Linked DNA regions of Macaca fascicularis. The main gene of each other region encodes a partner of the protein of the gene in region 3 in a complex. Links are inferred from orthologs where the notes say so. Each region holds a gene or a part of one and is shown on either strand. Other genes may lie near its edges. The genes, in order: E2F2, E2F4, TFDP2, E2F1, LIN52, MYBL1 and RBL2.

The links.
Region 1: TFDP2 (region 3) and E2F2 share a complex: the UniProt entries of both Homo sapiens proteins name them as parts of the DRTF1/E2F transcription factor complex. The link is inferred for Macaca fascicularis from reciprocal best matches to the Homo sapiens genes TFDP2 and E2F2.
Region 2: TFDP2 (region 3) and E2F4 share a complex: the UniProt entries of both Homo sapiens proteins name them as parts of the DRTF1/E2F transcription factor complex. The link is inferred for Macaca fascicularis from reciprocal best matches to the Homo sapiens genes TFDP2 and E2F4.
Region 4: TFDP2 (region 3) and E2F1 share a complex: the UniProt entries of both Homo sapiens proteins name them as parts of the DRTF1/E2F transcription factor complex. The link is inferred for Macaca fascicularis from reciprocal best matches to the Homo sapiens genes TFDP2 and E2F1.
Region 5: TFDP2 (region 3) and LIN52 share a complex: the UniProt entries of both Homo sapiens proteins name them as parts of the DREAM complex. The link is inferred for Macaca fascicularis from reciprocal best matches to the Homo sapiens genes TFDP2 and LIN52.
Region 6: TFDP2 (region 3) and MYBL1 share a complex: the UniProt entries of both Homo sapiens proteins name them as parts of the DREAM complex. The link is inferred for Macaca fascicularis from reciprocal best matches to the Homo sapiens genes TFDP2 and MYBL1.
Region 7: TFDP2 (region 3) and RBL2 share a complex: the UniProt entries of both Homo sapiens proteins name them as parts of the DREAM complex. The link is inferred for Macaca fascicularis from reciprocal best matches to the Homo sapiens genes TFDP2 and RBL2.

Annotation. Positions count from the first base shown.
Region 1 is NC_088375.1:211,610,218-211,613,717, reverse strand, and holds part of E2F2 (transcription factor E2F2), read right to left. Parts: intron 2,214-3,500; coding exon 1,945-2,213; 3' UTR 1-1,944. UniProt on the Homo sapiens protein: Transcription activator that binds DNA cooperatively with DP proteins through the E2 recognition site, 5'-TTTC[CG]CGC-3' found in the promoter region of a number of genes whose products are involved in cell cycle regulation or in DNA replication.
Region 2 is NC_088394.1:63,212,453-63,216,596, forward strand, and holds the start of E2F4 (transcription factor E2F4), read left to right. Parts: upstream 1-1,344; 5' UTR 1,345-1,405; coding exon 1,406-1,540; intron 1,541-1,939; coding exon 1,940-2,049; intron 2,050-2,187; coding exon 2,188-2,349; intron 2,350-2,657; coding exon 2,658-2,701; intron 2,702-3,599; coding exon 3,600-3,661; intron 3,662-3,882; coding exon 3,883-4,144. UniProt on the Homo sapiens protein: Transcription activator that binds DNA cooperatively with DP proteins through the E2 recognition site, 5'-TTTC[CG]CGC-3' found in the promoter region of a number of genes whose products are involved in cell cycle regulation or in DNA replication.
Region 3 is NC_088376.1:44,787,825-44,791,324, forward strand, and holds part of TFDP2 (transcription factor Dp-2), read right to left. Parts: intron 2,959-3,500; coding exon 2,812-2,958; intron 1-2,811. UniProt on the Homo sapiens protein: Can stimulate E2F-dependent transcription.
Region 4 is NC_088384.1:89,710,102-89,714,312, forward strand, and holds the start of E2F1 (transcription factor E2F1), read right to left. Parts: upstream 2,801-4,211; 5' UTR 2,680-2,800; coding exon 2,419-2,679; intron 1-2,418. UniProt on the Homo sapiens protein: Transcription activator that binds DNA cooperatively with DP proteins through the E2 recognition site, 5'-TTTC[CG]CGC-3' found in the promoter region of a number of genes whose products are involved in cell cycle regulation or in DNA replication.
Region 5 is NC_088381.1:142,138,976-142,141,340, reverse strand, and holds part of LIN52 (protein lin-52 homolog), read right to left. Parts: intron 732-2,365; coding exon 521-731; 3' UTR 1-520.
Region 6 is NC_088382.1:76,568,944-76,572,443, forward strand, and holds part of MYBL1 (myb-related protein A), read right to left. Parts: intron 2,900-3,500; coding exon 2,757-2,899; intron 1,982-2,756; coding exon 1,867-1,981; intron 1-1,866. UniProt on the Homo sapiens protein: Transcription factor that specifically recognizes the sequence 5'-YAAC[GT]G-3'.
Region 7 is NC_088394.1:49,468,637-49,472,136, forward strand, and holds part of RBL2 (retinoblastoma-like protein 2), read left to right. Parts: intron 1-755; coding exon 756-827; intron 828-1,485; coding exon 1,486-1,591; intron 1,592-2,158; coding exon 2,159-2,367; intron 2,368-3,233; coding exon 3,234-3,398; intron 3,399-3,500. UniProt on the Homo sapiens protein: Key regulator of entry into cell division. Directly involved in heterochromatin formation by maintaining overall chromatin structure and, in particular, that of constitutive heterochromatin by stabilizing histone methylation.

The DNA.
Region 1 (3,500 bases), on a different chromosome or scaffold from region 3:
CTTCAGACATCAGTCAGTTAGTTCAGGAGCCATCCAACAAAACCAACTTCATATTTTAAACCAGCTTAATGCTACAGACTTTTTAAAAAAGTGCTGTCCAGCCAAGCCTCTGAGAAAACCTAGCTCCCTGAGGGGTGGGTGGCAGGCCTCTCAGACCAACCCCTGCGCCTCTCTCCAGAAGGCACGGCCTTGGTTCAGCCCAGAGCACCCACATCCCAGGGTGAGTGGAGGACAAGAGCAGCTGGGCTGCAGGGATAATGTGGGATGATCAAGCCTCTGGGGGAACAGGCTGAAGCCAAAAGACCCCCTTAGGACCCCAGGCCTGAAGAGGTAACATGAGTTCCTCTCCCCATTAGCTGCGAAGGCCTGGTCTGCCATGAAGTCCTCTCTCTGTCACCCCTCAGTATACCTGGGAAAAAAGGGGTGAACAAGTCACCAAGCCCCAGTCACCTCTGTCCTTGGGGGTCTGAGTGAGCTCTGAGGGGTGGAGCGGTCCTTAAGGAACCATCCCCTTCAATAACATGGTGAAAAACTTCCTCCCAGGGAAGCAGAGAATGATGCCAGCGCCACATCGGGGGGCAGAAGGGATGCTTTGGGCAGTTTTTTGTTTTAATCTGACCCTTCTTTTTTTTTCTTTTTTTTTTGGAGACGGAGTCTCACTGTGTGGCCCAGGCTAGAGTGCAGTGGCCCGACCTTGGCTCACTGCAAGCTCCACCTCCCAGGTTCGCCATTCTCCCGCCTCAGCCTCCGAGTAGCTGGGACTACAGGCGCCCGCCACCACGCCCGGCTAGTTTTTTGTATTTTTTTAGTAGAGACGGGGTTTCACCATGTTAGCCAGGATGGTCTCGATCTCCTGACCTCGTGATCCACCCGCCTCAGCCTCCCAAAGTGCTGGGATTACAGGCTTGAGCCACCGCGCCCGGCCTAATCTGACCCTTCTTTACAGTGGGGCTGCCTCTGCCTACCAAGTCCTTGGTGCAAAATGGCTCCTGGACCACAGCAAGGCAGAAACTCTGAGGAAAGGTGCCCGCCACAGCCATGAGAGCTGCCCCCATGTTCCTGTCTGTTTTCCTTGGGAGCTTGTCTCTGCTGGACCATTTTTACATCTCAAAGGGAGGGAGAGGTAAGGACTTCCTCAGGAAAGGGGTCTCCTGAGCAGGTGGCTCCTGTTTCCACAGGAGCCACAGTGCTACCTGCCTTAGGATGGCTCCCTGGAACCATGTCTGGGACAGAGGTGACCAGGAAGCCAAGACTGGCGGCTCAGCTGGAGATGTGAGGCCAAGAACAGGGGAGAGGCGAAAGGGCCCACAGCTGCCGTTTACTAGAATTGTGAGGCCTAAGTGCAATTAGCATTCCGGCCGACTGGACAGCCCCTCAGAGACCCAGCCCCACCACTATGGGGAAACCAGGGACGTGGCCTGGGTCCCTCCCTTGGAAACCCAGACCTGCCCTGGAACATGGACAGCGATGGGCCCTGATGGGCCTGTCTGCGGAGGCCTCACTAAAAACTAGAACAACCTCCCTGCTAAAACTCAGGGAGCACAAACAAACCACTCAACCTGAAATAAATACAAAGGCATTAAGTGCTTCTTGTACGTCGAGGGTCCTAATTACCCCTCAAAAGGAGGTAGCAGGGCCTTTCCCTGGACTTGGCCACCTCACCTGCAGCCTTCTCGTGAGAGGTCAGAGGTCAGAAGACTGGATGGGCCTCCCCAGGCCCAGCTTCCATTAGGAAGGTGAGGACCCACACCCTTATCCCCTCCTCACCCGTACCATTCACATCTCCCCACACAGCTTCTGCCGGCTGGGGTGGGAAAGGCGAGGAGACCCCATTCCCTGAGGGCAGCACCTAGTGTCCAATGTCCCTGTGCAGGCAGAGGGCCTGTCAGCCTGTTTGTGAGGAGGTAGAGTCGGGGGCAGGCTGCTGGGGGCAGGCGGGGCCACTCAATTAATCAACAGGTCCCCGAGGTCGTAGGAGTCGAAGAGGTCGCTGATGCCCTCACCCGCCTCCAAGCCCCACAGGTAGTCATCCTGGTCCAAGGACGGGGAGAAGCTGATCAGAGGGGAGCTGCACGCCAGGGTCGGGGACAGGAACTGGTCCTCAGTCTGCTGCAGGAGTGGGTGCGGCAGCTCCAGCATGCTGTCAGTAGCCTCCAAGGGGACCAGGGATGGAGGCAGTGGGGCCTGCTGGGGGGTTGGCGCTGGCGCTGGCACTGGAGACAAACAGACAAAGGTTACGCCTGGCCCTGGCATCCAAGCCCTCAGCACACGAGGACAGACTTCCGGTTCTCTGGACGACTGCACCCTTCTCCTCTCTCCTCAGCCTGGGTGCAACGCCCTGCTCTCAAAATCCACCTTCCAGAGTCTACACCCAACCCTACCCCTTTTCATGTACTTTTTATTTTTCTGAGACCGGGTGTCACTCTATCACCCAGGCTAGAGTGCAGTGTTGTGATCTCGGCTCACTGCAACCTCCACCTCCCAGGTTCAAGCGACTCTCCCACCTCAGCCTCTGAGTAGCTGGACTATAGGCACACACCACCACACCCAGCTAATCTGTGTATTTTTAGTAGAGACGGGGTTTCACCATGTTGACCAGGCTGGTCTCAAACTCCTGACCTCAAGTGATCCGGCTCCCTTGGCCTCCCAAAGTGTTGGGATTACAGGCCTGAGCCACCGCGCCCGGCCAAAAAGGAAAGAAATTCTGATATATGCTACAATATAGATGAACCCTGAGGACATTAAGCTACGTGAAATAAGCCAATCACAAAAAAACAAATACTGTGTGATTCCACTTATATGAAATACTTAGTCAAAAGCGCAGGGACAGAGAGTAGAAGGGTGGTGGTGGTCAGGGGCTGGGGAGACAGGGGAATGGGGAATAGGTACAGAGTTTAGTTTTACAAGGTGGAAGGAGTTATGGACATGAATGGTGGTGATAGTTACACAACATTATGAATGTATTAATTACCACTGAACTGTACATTTAAAAATAGTTACGATGGTAAATTTTTGTTATGTTGACTCTACTCCCCACGACACACAACTATACCTTACCTCGTCACCCTCTCCAATTACTGGCCCATTTTTCTGCTCCTTTGCGCAGTAAACTTTCTCCAGAGTAGCCTGAGCTTGTCTCTACTTCCTTATTACTATTCTCTCTTCAACTCACTCCAGTCTGGGGTCTCTCCCCACCATGTCCCTGAACCAATGACCTCCATGCTGCTAAATTCAATGGTCATTTATCTGGCCTCATCTTATTTGACCTTTCAGTAGCCATTCTCCAGCACTCTAAGCTCATTTCTTTCTCTTCTTTTTTTTTTTTTTTTTTTGTGTTTTTGGAAACAGGGTCTTGCCCAGGCTAGAGTGCAGAGTGCAGTAGGGTGATCACGGCTCACTGCAGCCTCAACCTCCTGGGCTTGAGCAATCCTCCCGCTTCAGTCTCCTGAGTAGCTGGGACCACTGGTGCATGCCACCATGCCCATCTAATTTTTAAACTT
Region 2 (4,144 bases), on a different chromosome or scaffold from region 3:
CACCACCCAAATCCACCCTTCAGGACAGAAGTGCTCATTCTCCAGCTGCCAGGAGTGTAGGCTGCTGAGATCAATATTGGGGTGCAAAAGCATGGTACCATCACGTGAACATAAACTCTTCAGAAGTGCTACCCCAATTTCAGAGATCCTAGTGGCATAGGCTGAGGCCTATAATATAATTGCATCTGCCCAATTCTGCTTGTCTTACTCCCTTAAAGGTGTGGATCCTGACCAGGTGTGATGGCTCACGCTGTCATCCCAGCATTGTGGGAGGCTGAGGTCTGAGGATCGCTTGAGCCCATGAGTTCGAGACTAGCCTGGACAATATAGTGAGACTCTCATCTCTACAAAAACTAAAAATAAATGAGCCGGGCATGGTGTGTGCATGCCTGTGGTCCCAGCTACTTGGGAGGCTGAGGTGGGAGAATCGCTTGGGCCCAGGAAGCTGAGATGGCATTGATCTTGCCACTGCACTCCAGCCTGGGCAACAGAGTGAGATCCTGTCTCAAAAAAAAAAAAAAAAAAAAGAAGTGTGGATCCCCAACAAACTTGCTGCAAAACCCTGTCTCGAGTCCCATTTCCCATAGAACCTGACCTAAAAGAAACAATAATAAATAGTAACAATGTTACAAGTAACAAAATGACCCTAGCAAACTTTCCTACATGCCAGAAATGACTCTGAGTGCTTTACTGATATATACACATAGGTAAATACGTTTGCATTGCCTGAAGTGTATATAACCCCATAGTCTCTGAGCACTGTAGCGGGAGGACAAGATGAGCGAAAGATGAGGCTAGGACCATGGATGGAGAGAGGTGGACAAGGTAGATATAGTTAGTGCTTGCTGTTTGGCAGGAAGTGAGGGACAGGAATAGATGGGGTGACCCCAAGACAGTAGGGGAACCTTTAGGAACATTTTTGATGTGGCAGTAAAATGAGTTTGAAATATAAAAGAATAAATAAAGAGAAAAAAATTTAAAAGGAACTGATTTGAGGGAACAGATTGGATTAGTCAGGTAGTGTGGTCTTGTCTCCCGAGATGGGGACTGGGCAGAGTTAGTGATGTTGGGGCAGATTGGCAAGGAAAGTTCCGATGGCATCCCTTTCTCTACTGCCAGGGCTGCCCACTGACGCCCTCCTCATTCCTCCCTAACTTCATCCCAACTCCCGGTCTACCCAGGTAGTTTTCGTCTTATTCGGCGGCTGGACATTTGCTAATGGTCCCTGAAGTTTTGCGGTTGCACCCACAGACAGCAATAGCGCCGCGTTCCCTGGAAGACGCACGGGGCGGAAGCGGAAGCAGCAACGCTGGCTCCGGCTGCCGGACGGCCAGGAACGGAAGCGGAAGTGGCGGCGGCGCCGGCCTGGCCTGGCCTGGCTGAGGGGAGGCGGCGGGCGGACGCGATGGCGGAGGCCGGGCCGCAGGCGCCGCCGCCCCCGGGCACTCCAAGCCGGCACGAAAAGAGCCTGGGACTACTCACCACCAAGTTCGTGTCTCTTCTGCAGGAGGCCAAGGACGGCGTGCTTGACCTCAAGCTGGTGCGGCCCGGGCTAAGGGGCGACAAGGGAGGATGGTGGACCAGGCCTGGGCCGGTAGCGGGAACCCCGGGGGCGGCCCAGCTGGGTCCTCCGAGAGCCGGCCGCCATCGTGTGCTTTCTCACAGGAGAGAAGCCGGGGAATGTTTCATTCATTCGGCCGAGGCCATTGAGCTACAGCTATGGGCCAGGCTCGGGGCTCCAGGTGTTCGTCCTCGTGGCCCTTCCTGGCTGGCGAGGAGAAGAGCTGCCTATGGGACAGAGCTGCGGGCCTGAGCTGCAGTAGCGCCTGGCAGGCACTACAGGGTTGGAATCCAGGTTACTCCCTTCCCAGACCACGTCTCAGGGTGGCTGGGGGTACACCCGAGAGTGGGGCTGAGCATTCTCCACTCTGTCTGCCAGGCAGCTGACACCCTAGCTGTACGCCAGAAGCGGCGGATTTACGACATTACCAATGTTTTGGAAGGTATCGGGCTGATCGAGAAAAAGTCCAAGAACAGCATCCAGTGGAAGTGAGTGGGGATAGTGGGAGGGTAGTAGAGTCTCCCACCCAGAAGTGTCGGGGGTGGGGTGGAGGGTGCCAAAGAAGGCAGGGGCCGTGGGACCCAGAGTTCTCAGCAGTCCCTCTCAGCCCCACTCCCTGGGCTCAGGGGTGTGGGGCCTGGCTGCAATACCCGGGAGATTGCCGACAAGCTGATTGAGCTCAAGGCAGAGATCGAGGAGCTGCAGCAGCGGGAGCAAGAACTAGACCAGCACAAGGTGTGGGTGCAGCAGAGCATCCGGAACGTCACAGAGGACGTGCAGAACAGCTGATATCCTCCTGGCGTTCCCTCCTGGGGGGAGTGGGCAAGGGGCCCTCTGGTTCAACTTGCCCTGGGCAAGCTCCCTGTTCCTCTTGGGAGCTTGTCCTGTGGCCCCTGGCCATGGCCCAGCCTCAGGCTCCCTCCTCAGAGCCTCTCCCCTTCCAGTCTTAGCCTGTGATCCCTCCCCCAGTGGACCTGAGTCCCCAGAACTTTCTCTGAGGGGCCTCTGTGTCAGACCTTGGCTAAAGAATTGGGTCTTTTTTGTAGTCTGCCATCTGTCACCATAGGGCATCGGCCATTCTCCTTAACCCTCACACTTTGGCCTACGTCACTCATGAGGACATCTGCAGATGCTTTGCTGGTGAGCAGAGCCTGGGTAGGGGTGAGGGGGTGGGCTGGGCTCAACCAAATCCCTGAGCACTGGGCTCAGTGTCTCAGGAGAGTTCCGTCTCTTAAGAGGGTTTCTGGGGCCTGCTCAGAGAGGAACCAGGCAGGGTAAGTCTTCTGTCTGAGTGTCACTGGGACCCTGTGGAGGTCAGCTATACCAAGAGGGTACAGGAATTCTGGAGTGGGTTCCTGGGTCTGTTCCCAACTGTACTGTTTCCTGGATTTGGCTTCTTGAGTATGATAGAGGTACAAGGGGGAGAAAGGGAGAGAGGATATGTGTGTATTTGCTTGTGTTCAGGCTCTTACATGCAGGGCATGGGGGTGCCCACTTCCAACTTGTTAGTTTAATTGCATTGTGAATGCAGGATATGTTCCTTTTTTTTCTTTCCTTTTTTTTTTTTTTTAAAAAGAGACAGGGTCTTGCTATGTTGCCAGGCTGGTCTTGAACTCCTGAGCTCAAGCTGTCTTCCCCGCTCAACCCCCTAAAGTGCTGGGATTATAAGTGTGAGCCACTGTGCCCCGCTGATGTGTTTCTTCTCCATCATGTATCCTCCTGACTGGTCATGGGAAAGGGATGTTGGCCTTGGCTAGAATACCTTCACCTAGGGAACAGCCATCGGTGGAAGAGTGAGGTGCCTGTGGCCAGTGATATTTGACTCCACATACTTGAACCCAGATTTCCTGGTTACTGACTCTGGGCTCTCAGGAAGAGAAGAGCTTTAGCTCTGCCCAGCCACTATGGGGAATGGGTGAGGTCCACTGTCTAGTCCCTCAGAGACCATGATCTCCTGCCTTGCTCCAAAAGACAGGCACCTCTGTTCCCAGCTCAGATTGAGCCCATGGGCTCTGACCCATTCTCCATGTCATTCTAGGAGATACCCTCTTGGCCATCCGGGCCCCATCAGGCACCAGCCTGGAGGTGCCCATCCCAGAGGTGGGTGCTTAGCCCAGGCAGGCGGGGTCAGCTGAGGGCGGGTGCTGGCTGTGGAGACTGATAAGTCCCGGGTGGGGCAGGTAGGGGAGGCCTGGAGTTTGGGGTTATCTAGGAGGATGGGCATCCTGGGTGGGAGAGGACACTGGTCCTGACAGAGTCGGGCAGGAGCCAAGCCTGCTTCCAATTCTACCCATCTCCCATCCCTTACCACCCATCTCTAGGGTCTCAATGGGCAGAAGAAGTACCAGATTCACCTGAAGAGTGTGAGTGGTCCCATTGAGGTTCTGCTGGTGAACAAGGAGGCATGGAGCTCACCCCCTGTGGCTGTGCCTGTGCCACCACCTGAAGATCTGCTCCAGAACCCACCTGCTGTTTCCACGCCTCCACCTCTGCCGAAGCCTGCCCTAGCCCAGTCCCAATCCCAGGAAGCCTCACGTCCAAATAGTCCTCAGCTCACTCCCACTCCTGTCCCCGGCAGCGCAG
Region 3 (3,500 bases):
AGGTGGGCGGATCACGAGGTCAGGAGTTCGAGAGCAGCCTGGCCAAGAGACCAGCCTGGCCCATAAAGTGAAACTTTGTCTCTACTAAAAAAAAAAAAAAAAAAAAAAAAAAAAAAATTAGCCAGGCATAGTGGCAGGCACCAGTAATCCCATCTACTTGGGAGGCTGAGGCAGGAGAATTGCTTGAACCTGGGAGGTGGAGGTTGCAGGAGCTGACAAAGATCGTGCCATTGAACTCCAGCCTGGGTGACAGAGCAAAACTCCAACTCAAAACAAAAAAAAAAAAAAGAAAGAAAATTTACAGGAGCCCATTGGTTTGGACTGAGCTCCTGCACTAGGCCCCAACAGACCAAACTAAAATGGAGTCACTCATGCTGAAGTTCCATGCCACCAGGCCAAAACTAAGTTGTTTATCTGACCTAGGAAATCAGGAGAGAAAGACAGAATAGTAAACTACCCAAACAGGCCAGTTGCAGCTGGCATAAGAGAGTCTTCTCTGTTTTACCCTTACAAGGAAAGTGACATTGAAATGTCCAGTCTGCTTTTTCATCTGTTTCTGCCTCTATCTGCCTTTGCTGCTTCTCTATCTTTAAAACACTGAATAATGTTCAACCTCTTCTGCTCAGCTTATAGGAACACTCATTCTACTTACTAGTGAGGTGTTGCCAGATTCTAGAATCACAAATAAAAGACAATTAAGATCTTTAAATTTGTTACAATTTTGTCTTTCGATCATCAAATAAGACATTTTTCTTTTCTGCTTCAGCAGATTATCTCTTACTTGCTCCGCATCCAGTCTAGTTTATACTAGGGAGTTTCCATTCATGATTCCTCTATCCACCACGTTTTACTTTTAAATTACTTAAGATTCACGTAAAATCTGTGTGGCGTTCTACATTGGAAAAGATGTTGTAGGAGCATCCCTTTATCAGAAGCTCTGACAAGCAAGGCCCCTTATCTGTCCCTCATCCAACTAGGTCAAGCCACACCGATTCTACCTCTATAACACCTCTCCAATCTCATGGCCACTGCTGTTAACTCAGACCATCTCTAATCCCCCTCCTCCATTCCATTTCCTTCCCTACCTGTTAATTTTACTTCCAACCCACTGGCAGAGTGATCCTTCAAAAAACATCCTATCAACCCTTCTCTTTGTAATTTATCAACTGCTTCCCTTTGTTTACAGGATCAGGTCCCCACTGCTTAACACTTAGATATCTATCCATCTTTCTAAATGCCTGTTCCCTAGCCACACCCAGCTCCAGGCAAGCTTTCTCACGCCTGTCTCAGCCCATGCAGCGCCTCTGCCTGGAAGGCCCTCCCCACCCGTATCCACTTGGCAAACTACTCCCACCTCATGCCTGAGCTCTGGGATTATCTCCTTGGTAAAGCCCTCCCCCATCCCTCTTTGCAGAGAATCTGTACATTTCTTTCATAGGAGTAATCACATTTTTGGTTAACTCTTTTACATTTCTCTTCTCCCCAGTTAGAATGACAGTTCCTTGGGTTCAGAGATTTGCCTTGTATAACCTGTGATTAAGCACAAGGTAGATGTGAATAGGTTTTTTTGCTTAGTAAGTCTTTAGTATAAGCTCAATATTACTCATGAAAATGATGCTCAAATTCCACTCTATCAGAAGGAAGAAAAACGAGAAAAGGAGGATATTTCCACTGTAGCATATGAAAAATATTATATAGCTTCTGATGAATATCTGGTTTCTCTCTCCATCCATAAGTATAATAATACCAAATAACTGAATTGCTGGGGAGAAAAAAGACTGAGAAAAACAGAAAACCAATCTTAATTATCTCCCAAAGCTATATGTATATACACACACACACACATATATATACATTTTTTTAAAGATGGAGTCTTGCTCTTATCGCCTAGACTGGAGTGCAATGGCATCATCTTGGTTCACTGTAACCTCTGCCTCCCGGGTTCAAAGGATTCTCCTGCCTCAGCCTTCCCAGTGGCTGGGATCACAGGCGTCCGCCACTGGCTAATTTTTGTATTTTTAGTAGAGATGGGGTTTCACCATTTTGGCCAGGCTGCTTGAACTCCTGACCTCAGGTGATCCACCCACCTTGGCCTCCCAAAGTGCTGGGATTATAGGCGTGAGCCACTGCGCCTGGCCCCAAAGCCGTATTTAACCTCAGTTTATTCCATTTATGGTCATGGTAGTAAAATTATGTCATGTCAATTTAGAAACAGTATGTCAGGGAACATGCTCATGTAGAAAGAATTTTCTATAATGCTTAAAGTTAACAGAACTTAAAATGCTTCTGCATACATAATTCCAAAATTCTATTCATTCTGGTAAAGACACAAACGAAACACTATTCATTCTGTTGCTATTATTTCTAAAGTCAAATGCAAAAGTCTGACTTTCACAGCTATATTCAGAATATTGTGTAACCAATAAAGGAAATCAACAGCCAGCTTGATCCTTTTTTTTTTTTTTGGATACATACAGCAAGCATCTTATCAAATAAGATACCATTTCACCAAAAGTTTATTAGTAGAGTGCTCAGAATTAACTTAGAATGAAATAAAAATCTTCTCTAAGAAACAGTAAAATCAAACTGTTATTTAACTTTTATATCCCTCAGTTTCATCATTTACAAATTAAACTGTAGACTATACCTATAAGGCACCTTCCAATTCTAAAATTCTACAGTCTGTTAAAAAATGACATAGTATACATGAAAAATTGGAAATATTTTATATTACAATTACATTTTTAAATTAAAATGCCTCTGATGTAAAATAATACAAAAAGCTATTCATAAACAGATTTTCTCACTTACCTCCAGATTCTGACATTCCTGAGCAGAATTGGTAGGCAGGCCAATCCACTTGATTTCTTTTTTTTCCTTTGAAATTATGTTCATTGCCATTAGCACATTTAAAGCATCATAAACTCTTCGCCTAATGTTTTTCTGATCGTAAGCCTGCTAAAAAACATTTTCATTGAGTGATAATTAAGGGTTAAGATACAGTCACATGATATTAATATGTCAAATTAATATTACGTCTTCAAAGTGCTGGAAGGATTCTATTTTTTTATTTAGCAAACTGACAAAGACATCCAAAAGAATTCTATATTCCGTGAAAATATCCTTCAAAATTAAAGATGAAATAGAAATACTTTCAAACAATATAAAACAAAATAATCTTAAAAATAAAGATCATGTTACCTGCAGATCTACACTGAAATATACTAAAGGGATTTCTTCAGGTAGAAGAAATATCATCTAAGATGGGAGCTTAGAGATGTAGGATAGAATGAAGACCAATCCAAAAGGTAAATATGTGGGTAAATCTCAATTTTCACTGTATAAAACAATAATAATGTCTTATGGAGGCTAGAATAAATACAGAACTTAATTAATATACATGACAATAAATAGTATATATTAACAGAAAAACATATTGGAGGTAAAGTGTTCTAAGCCCTTGCATTATCTGGGAGGATTTTAGACTTAAAAAAATCAAG
Region 4 (4,211 bases), on a different chromosome or scaffold from region 3:
GCCTGGGCAACATGGCAAGACCCTATCTCTACTAAAAATACAAAAATTAGCTGGGCGTGGTGGTACACGCCTGTAATCCCAGCTACTTGGGAGGCTGAGGCACAGAATAGCTTGAACCTGGGAGGCGGAGGTTGCAGTGAGCCACAATCACGCCACTTCACTCCAGCCTAGGTAACAGAATGAGACCCTGTCTCCGGAAAAAAAAAAAAAAAAAAGTTAAGTTTTCCATAGTAAACACGTATTATAGTTATAATACTTGAGTTTGTGGAAGTGGACAGGCAGGGCCAAGAGGAATGGCCAAATCGCACAGAGCGTTATATACAGGTGTTCAACGAATGCCTGCTGGTATAGAAGCTAAGCCTGTAGCTTATTTCAAGGACTGCCCCAGACAAATGCCAGTGCAGAGAGGCCAAAAGCCGAACCTGTGGACTTTCTGGACTTCAGCTCCAGAATGGTGCTAGCCTCCTGGCCCTTACGTATTCTGGGAGCCGGGGCTCCTTGTCTCTGTGCCTAGTGCCTCCTGGGCATTCACTAATTCAACAACCGTTGAATGAATGCAGTGCCCAAGCCAATGAGCCTGCCCCTGACAGGTGGCGCGGAGGGCATTTTTCTTTGCCCCTGTCCCTCCCTTTGATCCTAGAACCCATAATCCTGTTCAGTTACTTGAGGACAAGACCCTCGGGTTCTGTTAGGTTTCTGCAGACCTGAGCCTGCTATATGCTTGTCACACAACTGAATGGAAGATGCTTGCCCAGGTCCCAAGCGGTACCCACAGGGACAGGTCCCTGGAGTACAGGAGACAGGCCACCTGGTCCACCCCTGGTACAAACCCCTCCCACCCACTCATTAAGAGGAAGGGCCCCTAAAAGCCCTTCCTGCCCTTTCTCCAACCTTTATCAGCATCTCTAGGAAGCAAGGCGTCCCAGAGGTCAACCTCACAGAAAATGCAGACTGGTCTCCCCACTCAAGAGCAGAATGACATGGGAAGATTCTAACATCTCTAGGCCTCAGCTTCCCAATCTGTAAAAAGGGACTGCTGCTGATAGGGTTAAATGAGTTAATTAGGTAAAGTGCTTGGCACAGAGCCTGGCACACAAGACATCCTCAAAACAATGGTGGCTGCTATTGTTATTATTATTAGCATTGTGGTGATTCCGGAAGGCAGCATTGGGCATGGGGCCAAGGGGGTTGGGGGAGCCTCCTCAGGATGCCTCAGGGACCAGCTGCCACCCACACCCCCATCAGCAGTTAGGCAGCTTCTACCTCCTTGTCCTGAGTCCTGCCTCACCCCTCCCACTTGCTTCAAGCTCCCTGCTGAGACCCCATCCTGCCTGGCCAGGCCCCGCCTGCACACCAGAGCCCCACCTTCACCCATAGGCTGCGCCAGTCAAACTGGTCTCCACACCCTGCCCTGCGCCCCACAGGTCCCAGCTCTACACCTCCAATCCCTTCTCCCACTGTAATTCAGCCGCCTCTTCTGGGCCCCCCAGTCTGAACTGGTCTTGAGCTCAGCGATCAGGGAGGACTTTATTAAAGGATCTCCCTGGGACATTTTCTCTCCTGGCACTGGGGGCCTCTCCAGCTCCCAGAGGCCCAGCCCACCTAGTCCTTCTACAGAGACTCAGGGGTCGGCCTGCCTGATTAATGAGGTTCCATGGCAACCAGGGCCTGGGAGGGTGGAGGGTGGCAGATGGAAGGACAGGCAGAGGGAGGGGACCTGCAGCTGGTCCAGCTGCCCCGCCCCTGCAGAGAAGGCCTCCCAGCCAGGAGGGCTGTCCCCAGAGGCCTGGCCAGCCAGGCCTGCACCTGGCAGTCAGCATCGAGGCAGAAGGAGGGTCTCCTCAATGGCTCACCAACGGTTAGGCCCCAGGACCTTCCTCCGCCCCGCCTTCACTTCCCCTAGCAGCTGTGCTCACTACCGAGATGCAAATTCTGAGCTGAAGCCAGCAGGCCTCAGTTCAAATCCCAGCCCCACCACCTGCAGCCGTATGACCAGGGGCAAGTCACTTCCCCTCTCTGGGCCTCAGTTCTTCCTCCGTCAGATGGGCACAGTGACAACACAGCTCACAGCGGGGTTGTGAGTTTTAGCTGACTTGAAGTCGGCCGAAGGCCTGGCATGCAGTAAACGCCAGTTGAATACACGTGGGTTATTATTATCACTGAGTCTGACGCTGGGGAGCCTCCAGTGAGGAAGCTGAGGCCCAGAGCACAGAGGAGCAAACAGGGACCGGCCCGAGGTCACCCCGCACCCCAGGGCGGGGCCCGCAGGCCCAACCCCGGCTCTGCACCGCCCAGCCTGGGCGCCTCAGTCAACCCCTCCCCCGCCCCCTGCCGCCTCCAGGCCAAACACGGCGCCCTCCCGGGTCTGCGCGGGGGGCACAGGAGGCGCTGTCGGCGCGTCGTCCCTGGGGTCCGTACCGGCGGGCGGCCGAGCGCGGGGCGCGGCGCACTGGGTGTGGGCCGGGGCGCCTGCGGTGTGGCGAAGAGCAGCAGGTCAGGGTCGCAGGGGCCGGCGGCTGGCGCCGCGGGGCCGGTGGGAGCCGGCGGGGCGCTGGCGTCCTGCGCGGCAGAGATGATGACGATCTGCGAGGAGTCGAGCAGCCGCAGCGCGCCGGCCCCGAGCAGGGCCTCCAGCGCCGGCGCGCATGGGCCGCCCGCAGGGGCCCCGGCCAAGGCCATGACGCTCACGGCCCGCGCGGCCCAGGTGACAGGCGGCGGCGGCGGCGCGGGCCCATGGCGGCAGGCCCCGGCGAGGGCTCGATCCCGCTCCGCCCCCGGCCGCCGCTGCCTGCAAAGTCCCGGCCACTTTTACGCGCCAAATCCTTTTTGCCGCGAAAGAGCCACGAGCCGCCGAGCGCCGCCACAATTGGCTGCCCGGGCCGTGACGAGAACGACGGCGGCGGCTCCTATTGGCTTTAGCGCGCCGGACCCGGCGGCGAGGGGCGGGATGGGGCGGCGGCGCGGGGCGGTACGGCCAATGACGGGGCGGGGCGCGCGCAGGCTTTGTCCGGATGGTGCCAGGCGCGGTCTGACTCCCCGCCCCCAGCCCGGGCGTCCCCTGTTGGAGGCGTGGGGACACGGGAACACGGGCCCCGCCCTGCCCCGCCCCGCCCTGCCCCGCCCCGATGCTCCCGCATCCCACTGCCCTTTCTATAGTGCAGGTTCAGAACAGAGCCTCTGTTCTGCACGTGACCCTCAACCTGTAGCCTTCCACAGCCTCAGCTTAGATTTCCAGAGACTGCCCCCTTTTTTTTTCGGGATCATCAGTTCCACAGCCCAGCCATCAGCCACCTCTTCCATCCTCAACTTGCCTCACCCATGACATTATCCTAATCCTGCACCCGGCCCTATCCCGCTCACCCAGAGCCCAAGCTGAAGAGCGGTGGCTAGAAATGGCGGGGGGACGTCAAGCTTTCCTGCAAGTCCCATTTTAGCCAAAATCTCCAACAGCCAACGTAAAGCGTCGGCCTGAACTCATTCATTCCCTCACTCATTCAACAAACGTTTGAAGAGCCTGCTCTGTGCCTCATCCTTAAATCTGCCCCATCCTTAACTCGTGGCCCTGAGGAGCTCACAGTCTAGTAGACGGGAACAGAAAGGTAACAAACGTTTACAATAACATGAAGCGTCGTCTGGGCGCGGTGGTTCACGCCTGGAATCCCTGTAATCAGAGGGCGGGGTGGATCGCTTGAGTCCAGGAGTTTGAGACCAGCCTGAGCAACATGGTGAAAACCCGTCTCTACAAAAAATACAAAAATTAGCCAGGCATGGTGGCGCGTGCCTGTAGTCCCAGCTACTTGGGAGGCTGAGCTGGGAGGATTGCTTGAGCCCGAGAAGTCGAGTCTGCAGTGAGCTATGATCATGCTACTGCACTCCAGCTTGGGTGACAGAGCGAGATCCTGTCGCAAAAACAAAACACATCACTTCTGGGGAGCCCTCCCAAGGATTTACTCGCTTCCTCTATTGCCCACTGCTGCCTCTGTTCCAATGCTGACCACACACTCCTTTTCTCCATCTGCCTCCCCTACCAATCTAGGAGCTCAGTAGCGACTCCTCCCATCACTGGTCTGACCGAGAGCAGGCGCTGAGAAAGGTTATGAAAGAAACAGACGCTAAGCCAGAGGCTGCTTAGACTGTGACAAGGAGACTATGGTTCTGCAAGGGTGGTCCTTAGGCCACTGGCTTCAGAACCACGTGGTCACTTGCTAATT
Region 5 (2,365 bases), on a different chromosome or scaffold from region 3:
TCCAGGAGGGACTCAGGGATCCCTTTGCCCGAAGTCAGAACTGGAAGGTGGGGCTGGGAAGTAAGGAATGAAAAGCAAATGGGACTATCATAAGAGGTATAGAAGTTTTAAAAAACAGATGTACATTTCAAGAAGATTCTGGTTTCTCCAGCTGGGGATTCTGGGAACTTAGTATATACTGGAGAGTTCACAGGTCAGGCTGCATGGTCTGGTCCAGAATCTAGTTGGTCTCTGGTCTCCTTGCATCAAAAACACTTCCTAAGAGATCAAGAACAATTCAAAAGAACCCATCCAATCAACATGTCACAACTGACTGCCATGACTGAGTCAAATCAACCGTAAGATCCTGGGGCTCCTGAATCACTTCCAGAAATGAGAAAGCAGGACTTTGACCTTTAAGAATGATATGCCCTCAGCTGTTACCAATATCCGAGGCTAAGAAGGTTCAAGTCTGAAAGCTGACTGAGTAACTGCAATGATCCTTGGGTAGAGCAGATTCTTCTCTTGCTGCTGAATGTCCTCAGACGCGTAGAGTGCCAGGAACAGGGGAGAGGGCAGTCCTGGAGGTACACCCTCTGGTCTCTCCCAAGCAAGCAGTGAGGTGTGCATTGTTAGAGGTGCACCGGGAAGGGAGCTTGGTTTCGAACCCCAGGACATCCTGTCCACAAGCAGCTGCTACTTCTTGGGCTTCTCTAGAATATTGAGGAATTTCCCCCGTGTCATCTCTCTGGCTGGAATCACAAAGCAAACAAATGATCAATGAAAACCTAAAATCTGAAAAAAGAATCATAGAAAGATTTAACTTAAAAATGCAGATTGATTTAAATTATATATCAAGTTGCTATCACAACAGATTTAATCATCACCAACTAACCTCCTAAAAGAGGGTAAAAACAAACCGTTACAGACAACTACAACTCTACAAAGCTATTCTGAAGTTGGCAATTGAGATACACACCAAATGACTGCGAAAGATTGTATCATTCACCTTTAAACAAATCACCAGGGGATTCCCCCAAAACCTCTCTCTGTCTCAAGAATCTAACCTAATACTCATGTTCACTATCTCAGGGGGTTTGCTTTTGGGGCCTAAAATCCAACCAAGATTAGTCTTCTCTGGGTTGCTGGTCTCTGGACATTTATAATCTCAAATCAAAATTAGAGATCATTTACCCTATCTCTCGGCAGTGGTAGTCCCTGGATACTGTAATATAACAGGGTTTATATTCCCTTAGTGCAGTTCATCTGTGGATGGTGTCATAAAGTAGGGTTTATAGAGCTTTGGTCTTCTTTCCCTTGGCATTGTCAGTCCTTAGATATTTAATATAGCCAGCCAAGGTTTATGTGTCTTTCTCCGGCTTTCAGCACCATCAATCTTTGAATGCTGTAGTTACAAGTGGGTTTATATAGCTACTTTCCTACATAGAAGGTTCCAAAATGAAAGTAAAACATTTCTCAGTTACAAGGGCCACTCCAGAGGTCCCCCATTTTAGATCTCAGAAAGCATACGTAGTGTAACAGCCCCTTCCTCATCCTCATCCTAAAAGGCCATGTTTTCAGATTTCTTAAATGGATTTAACAGTGCAGAAAGTTTCTGATGGCTGATGGCTGGCTCTGGGAGCCAGGCCTTCTGGAACCATGCAGTAGGCACAGGGCAGGTTGTGTGGCCTCCCAAGAACACATCTCCATCATGGCCAAAGAAGTGAGGTGGCTAGGGAGGCACCCTCAGGAACGAGAAGGACCTTCACCCAGGCCTCCTTGTTGCCTTTCCCAAGTCCAGAGCAAACAGAGCTAGATGAATGGCCTCCCGCTCCCCTCTGCCCCAACTTAAATTTTCTTGTTTTATTGTACAATGAAGACATAAAACAACACAACCTCTGGGACCACAGGGAGGCTTTTGGTAACTTCAGTCTATACGTTCCCCATCTTTCACTAGTTCCTGTGCTCCAACAGAGGGAAAGGAAATTCCATTAACTAGGCATAGAAGCCCAGTGTTGGGTCTTGCCTCACGTGCCCACAATCCCAACCCAGATCAAATCAAACAGACCGTTCCTTCCTTTGTGGATTTATAGCAAATCCTGTATAAGCAAAGTTCCTATAAGACTTGCATGCAATTCCTTGCTTATATAGTTGTCTTCCTCTACTAAAAGGTACTGAAGGCAGAGACTGTTTAGTGCTTTGGACTTCTCTCCCTCGGCAAAAGATCCAAACAATCAGATCCAAACTCCAGAGCACGTGCCCTCCTGTTCACTTGTCATCAGAGATGTTAACATTTCTGATTAATTCATATAGCCCTTATTTTATTCCTCATTTCTTTATCCTCGCTCTGCTGCAGTGCGAAGATTCTTACCGACCTGCTACAGAC
Region 6 (3,500 bases), on a different chromosome or scaffold from region 3:
AGCCTAGTGCAGTGCCTGGAACCTATTAGGCACTCAATCAATATTTCCTGAATTAATGATGAATTTTTAAAATAAACAGCAAAACACTGAAACAGACAGGCTAAATCAATCAGGTAATTCCACACAATGGAATATTATGCAAACATTAAAAATTATGGGATAAATATATACATTTACTTGGTTAAATTAAAAAATGGTGTTATAAAATAATAAAGTGTGGTCATACTCTTGTTTTATTTACGTATATGCATAAATAAAAACTCCAGGAAGCTCTAAAGGAAACATGATTGTTCACAGCAGTACATGGAGCTAAATGACAAAAAGACTCGATCAACCCTACTATGTACCCTTTAACACAGTATTTTGAAAAAGAAAGAAAAGACTAGTAGATGTGTGTGTAACATGCTTTTGGGCAGAAAATTAATTAAATCAAGTAAACTAGAATTTGCTAACGAATCTAACCAAAAAGTGACTAAAAATAGAAGAACATAACTAAACCCTGAAAGTCACCAATATTTTAAAAATTGTATTTCTAAAGAACTTGTCAGAAATCTGTAACTGCCTAAAATGCCCATCACTTTTCCAAGGTATTTCAAAGGCAGTAAGATATATGAAAGCACAGTAACTAGAACACTTCCCAGTCCTATTCATTCGTGAACTACTACCGCAAATACTATTATTAGAATAACAGCAGCAACCAAGCACACACTACTTGAAACTCAGACAAGCTCTTTTAATTGCATCAACTCTTTCAGCTTCACAGTAACAATTTGGGGTGTGTTTTATGATCTCCTTTGCATAGAAAAGGAAACTGAGCCTTTTCCTAATTAGTTTCCTAAAGAGGTACCCTGATTAGTTTCCTAAATATTATCATGAAAGTGCTTCAGTATATTAAAATTATTTTATTCTAATACATGTAACCATGACTGAAACTACTAAAATGTAAATTTCAGTATTAAGAAAAGCGTTTCAGCCGGCCGCAGCAGCTCACTCCTGTAATCCCAGCACTTTGGGAGGCCAAGGCGGGCGGATCATGAGGTTAAGAGATCAAGACTATCCTGGCCAACATGGTGCAACCCAGTCTCTACTAAAAATACAAAAATTAGCTGGGCGTGGTGGCGCAAGCCTGTAGTTCAAGCTACTCAGGAGGCTGAGGGAGAATTGCCTGAACCCGGGAGGTGGAGGTTGCAGTGAGCCGAGATTGAGCCACTGCACTCCATTCTGGTGACAGAGCAAGACTGTGTCTCCAAAAAAAAAAAAAAAAGAAAGAAAAATGAAAAAAAAAAACAGAAGAGTTCCACTGACACCTGATCTGTTTTCTCTGGATGCTATAAAGCTAAGAATTCAAAACAAGCCAAGCAAGGATTTACAAGTTAAAGAAAAAGGTGGACACAAAATTCAAACTTAAAAATTAGGCAAGGTGCAGTGGCTCACACCTGTAATCCTAACACTTTGGGAGGCCGAGGCGGGGGTGGATCACCTGAGGTCAGAAGTTCAAGACCAGGCTGGCCAATGTGGTGAAACCCCATCTCTACTAAAAATACAAAAATTAGCTGGGTGTGGTGGCGGGCACCTGTAATACCAGCTACTCAGGAGGCTGAGGCCTGAGGATCACTTAAACCCAGGGGGTGGAGGCTGCAATGAGCTGAGATCGTGCCACTTCACTCCAGCCTGGGCAACAAAGCGAGACTCCATGTCAAAAACAAAACAAAACAACAATAATAAAAAACTTGAAAATCAAAAGATAAAGCTTTGTATCTGTTTCAGTAAACATCTTTTTTAAATGTTAAAAATCAAAGTGATAAAAATCACAATGTGTTTTTTTAAAATTAGGAAAATTATTAAAAATAAAATGAATATACATACCACAATTTTAAGAGGTCCATATTTTTTCTCCTGAGCAGCAAGCGCATTCTTAAAAGGAGTAGGAGTTCTTGGTGTGGTACCCAATATAGATCTTCTAATAGTAGGTGTTCTGAAACTATCCAATCATTTAGATATTTATGTTATAGTCACAATCTGATTGCATACGAGTTAATGAAAGCAAAGCAATTTAAGCACACACTAAATTTTCTCACACACACACACACACACACACACACACACACATATATATATATATGCTTCATCTAAACATTCTAAGACTATTTTACAGTATGCCTGCCTATGGTAATTCTGATTTCAATCACTCATCTTAAAATAGAAAAAAGAATTAATACAGAAAAAAGTACTAGAAATGTTTTCATTGAAATCAAAGATACTATATTTAAGTTGGTTTTGACTGTCCTAAGGAGAAAACATAAGGCTATGATTTAAAAAAAAAAAATTCTGGCCCAGCCCAGTGGCTCACGCCTGTAATCCCAGCACTTTGGGAGGCTGAGACGGGCAGATCACCTGAGGTCAGAAGTCCAAGACCAGCCTGGCCGACACAGTAAAATGCCATCTCTACTACACATACAATATTAACCAGGTATGGTGGCACATGCCTGTAATCCCAGCTACTCAGGAGCCTGAGGCAGGAGAATCACTTGAACCCGGGAGGTGGAGGTTGCAGTGAGCCGAGATCTCACCATTGCACTCCAGCCTGGGCAACGAGAGCGAAATTCCATCTCAAAAAAAAAAAAAAAAAAAAAAAAATTCTAAGTCCTGTAGGAATAGGGATTATGATACATGCTATTTATATGCACAAAAAGCTAATCTACTGTTGATATTGTGCTCCCCATTTTCTCTAACACAATTATTTAATACCTACTTACCCTACATTTTCCTTTTGATCTTTGGGAGTTGTTTCCTTATGAAGAGGAGTTGTAATAAGAACTTTCTGCCCACAAATAGGGGTTGATGTAAATGAAGGATTTTCTATATTAAGTTGTTCATTTCCAGGACATGTGTTGAAAAACTAAAAATGGAAGAGAGTTTAAAGATGATTTCTAGAACATCAAAATCCCTACACAAATATTAAACTAAGATTTTCAAATTATTTCTTCATACCTCTTTTAAAAAGCTTATGAATAATATTACACTTATACTCCATGGAAATTATGCTCCATGAGGGTAGGAATTTTTGTCTGGTTTGTTCATTTTTGTCTCCCCAGCTCTTAGAACAGTGTTTAGCACATATAGGAATTCAAGAAACATTTAACAAATATTCAAAAGTTACCAAAAAAAATACTAAAAATTGTAAAAAGTGTATTATCAAATAGAGATCCATAGAAACTATAAACAGTTGCCGTGTTAAATCTAACAGTTTTGTACAACAGTGTGTAACTGAAAAAAGTTTTTTTAGCTCTTATTAATAAATGACCTTAAGTGGCTTTTTCTATGAGAGTATTTTAATTTAGAATATAATAACGCTTTGCTGATGAGAAATACAGCTGTCTGGCAAATTTGCCTATCTAGAACACAGAACCTCTAAGAAGTCAAAATTGGTATCACCGAGTCCATCTTCTAAATTATATAATTTACAACTGTGAAATACTAATTATATTCACAATACAATT
Region 7 (3,500 bases), on a different chromosome or scaffold from region 3:
TCAGTATTTCTTTGAACATTTTTTTCTGCTTCTTTCTCTCCTCTCCTGATTCTCCCATTACACTTATGTTGATTTCCTTAATGCTGTGCCACATTTCTCTGAGGCTGTTTATTTTTCTTCATTCTTTCTCTGTTCTCAGATCACATCATCTCTTCATGTTTGCTAATCTTTTTGGTTTTTTTGCTACTTCAAATCTATTTTCCCTAGCTTCTAGTGAATTTTTCATTTCAGTTACTGTAATTTTCTACTCCAAGTCTTTTTTTTTGAGATGAGTCTTGCTCTGTTGCCCAGACTGTACAGTGGCTCAATCTCAGCTCACTGCAACCTCCGTCTCTCGGGTTCAAGTGATTCTCCTGTCTCAGCCTCCCTAGTAGCTGGGATTACAGGCACATGCCACCATGCCTGGCTAATTTTTGAATTTTTAGTAGATACTGGGTTTCACCATGATGGCCAGGCTGAACTCCTGACTTCAAGTGAGCCACCCTCCTCGGCCTCCCAAAGTGCTGGAATTACAGGTGTGAACCACCGCACTGGCCTCTAAGTCTTGATTCACATATTATTCTTAATGAATTTTAATAGATATTCTTGAATCGATGTATCTTCATTTGCTATATGCCTTTAATACCATTTCCAGAGACTTTAAATAGCTTTTATATAATTTTCACCCCTTTTACTGGGCAGCAGGTTCACACAGCTCCTCACACTATTATGGTGGAAGTTGTTGTATCTCTCAGAGCACTCTTATTGTTTGCCAGGTCACAAAAGAAGATAAGTCCTTCCAGAATATTATGCGTTGTTATAGGACTCAGCCACAGGCCCGGAGCCAGGTAACTACATTTTCTCTATGGGCTGAAAATAACGCTTAAAGTCTGTGATGAATACAAGAAATTAACCATAGTTGACTCTGTGGCCTTTTTTTCCAAGATAAACACCTGGGACTCTACTTAAGGGAAATTTCTGCTTTAATCTTCTTTATTCTTGATGTCACATGTTGATTAAGTTCTCTTTTCCTCAGAAGGCAACAATGTTAAATATTTGATTGCCTTCTCAATTCAGAAAAATCACAAGATAGATAGGAATTAAGAAGTTACTTGGTTTCTATGTCACCATTCTGGTTTAGTAAACATACTGTACGTTTAACCAAGAGAATGTCACATGGAAATTTAAAACCCACTTTGCCTTTATTACGATTCGTCTCTGAGAGGCAAATTGGCAGATCTGTGTATCTGACTTAGAATGACTTGACTTTATGGTTGGGTGCTGTTACCGCAGCGTGGTACTGCAAGTAGTACTTGGCATGTGAAGCTAGATGGGCTCTGATTGAATCTTAGATCTGTTATAATTTGAGTTATGTTTCTTAGCCTCTTCTGAGGACAACTATTGCTACACAGATTATTGTGAAAAGTAACATATGTCAAGGTCCTATCACCAAGGGTGTGCTCAACAAATACTAGTTTACATCCCCTTCTCATTATTTCTCTAAAGGTGTATAGAAGTGTTTTGATAAAAGGGAAAAGAAAAAGACGAAATTCCGGCAGCAGTGATAGCAGAAGCCATCAGAATTCTCCAACAGAACTAAACAAAGATAGAAGTAAGTGGGATCTTTGTGAACTACAAGACAAAATTAGGAGCTTTTCTTACTTTTTAGGACTTGAAGTAACCATTACTAAATGAAATAACTATAGAAACTATGAAAGTGTATAAACAAAGGGTTTAATGGATCAGTAAATCAAATTCTGGGTGGCAAAACTGTCCATTCCATAGCTTTGGGGCACATATTCTATAACATTTTTCTCCAGGAGAATTAGAGCTTTCAGTGAGGAATCTGCTTGCCTGAGTTTCAGAAAGGACTGACATGTCAGTTGGAGCCATGCTATGGAAATACCATCCCCTACCTGTTGGTTTGTCCTAGGGCTTAGGTCCTAGAAAACTTGGTGTAGCTTATTAATACTACTCAGAAAGCCCTTGCTATGGTTATGGCATAGGGATATCAAGTTAAAATCCTAGCTGAGCTTTGCCTTTTGGTGTGAAGAACAGAGTGCCTATTCACTGTTATTAGCAAGTAATGCAGGTAGCTGTTCCCTTTCTCCTACTTTTTAAAAATTAAAACAATCTATACTAGCAGCTTTTGTATTGACACCCTGTGTTCTCCTGGAAGCAGCCAGTAGAGACTCCAGTCCAGTCATGAGGTCAAGCAGCACCTTGCCAGTTCCACAGCCCAGCAGTGCTCCTCCTACACCTACTCGCCTCACAGGTGCCAACAGTGACATGGAAGAAGAAGAGAGGGGAGACCTCATTCAGTTCTACAACAACATCTACATCAAACAGATTAAGACATTTGCCATGAAGTACTCCCAGGCAAATGTAGTAAGTATTACAGGGATCATTTCATGCTTTTTTCATGAGTATTGAGGAATTATTTATGATTTATATATGGACCATTCACCTGGTCCATATATAAACTAGTTTTGGCCAAGCGTGGTGGCTAACACCTGTAATCCCAGCACTTTGGGAGGCTGAAGCGGGCAGATCAGTTGAGGTCAGAAGTTCGAGACCAGCCTGGCCAACGTGGTAAATAAAACCCAGTCTCTACTAAAAATACAAAAATGAGCCAGGCGTGGTAGAACACATGTGTAATCCCAGCTACTCTGGGGGCTAAGGCAGGAGAATTGTTTGAACATGGGAGGTAGAGGTTGCAGTGAGCTGAGATTGCGCCACTGCACTCCAGCCTGGGCGACAGAACGAGACTCTGTCTCATAAATAAGCTAGTTTTACAAATAATTCTATTAAGTAAAACTGAGGAGGTCTGTAATTTACCTAACCAACATAAGTTCTGTTGTTAAGCATTAAACAAGAATAAGATTGTATTTGGAGTCCCTACAAAGTATAGTAGTACAAGAGACAGGCTACATGGGTTCAAATTGTCTAGTACTTAACAGTAGTGGTAACCTTGCAAATCATTAAATTTTCTCTGTACCTTGTTTCCTCATATATATAAAACATGGGAATATAACTAGTTCTTAGCATATGGAGTTGTAAGGATGAAATGACATAATGTATAAAAATTGCTTAAAATAATAACTGGCACAAACTAAGCACTTAAGGTTTGCTATTAGAATGTTTTTCTTTAGGTTAAATTAGTGCTAATATATCACTCTTATCATTCTCAGTAAAAATACCTCATTATAAATTTCTTTTCTTAGAGTTACTGATTTTTTTTTTTTTTTTAACAGATGGATGCTCCTCCACTCTCTCCCTATCCATTTGTAAGAACAGGCTCCCCTCGCCGAATACAGTTGTCTCAAAATCATCCTGTCTACATTTCCCCACATAAAAATGAAACAATGCTTTCTCCTCGAGAAAAGATTTTCTATTACTTCAGCAACAGTCCTTCAAAGGTGAGCCTAACATCAATCTTGGCCTTTACTAACCCCAAAATGCTTCAGATGCTAGAAAGAGGGTTTGTGCTAAGCCTAGGCACTCATTAGAGTGATGAGAGC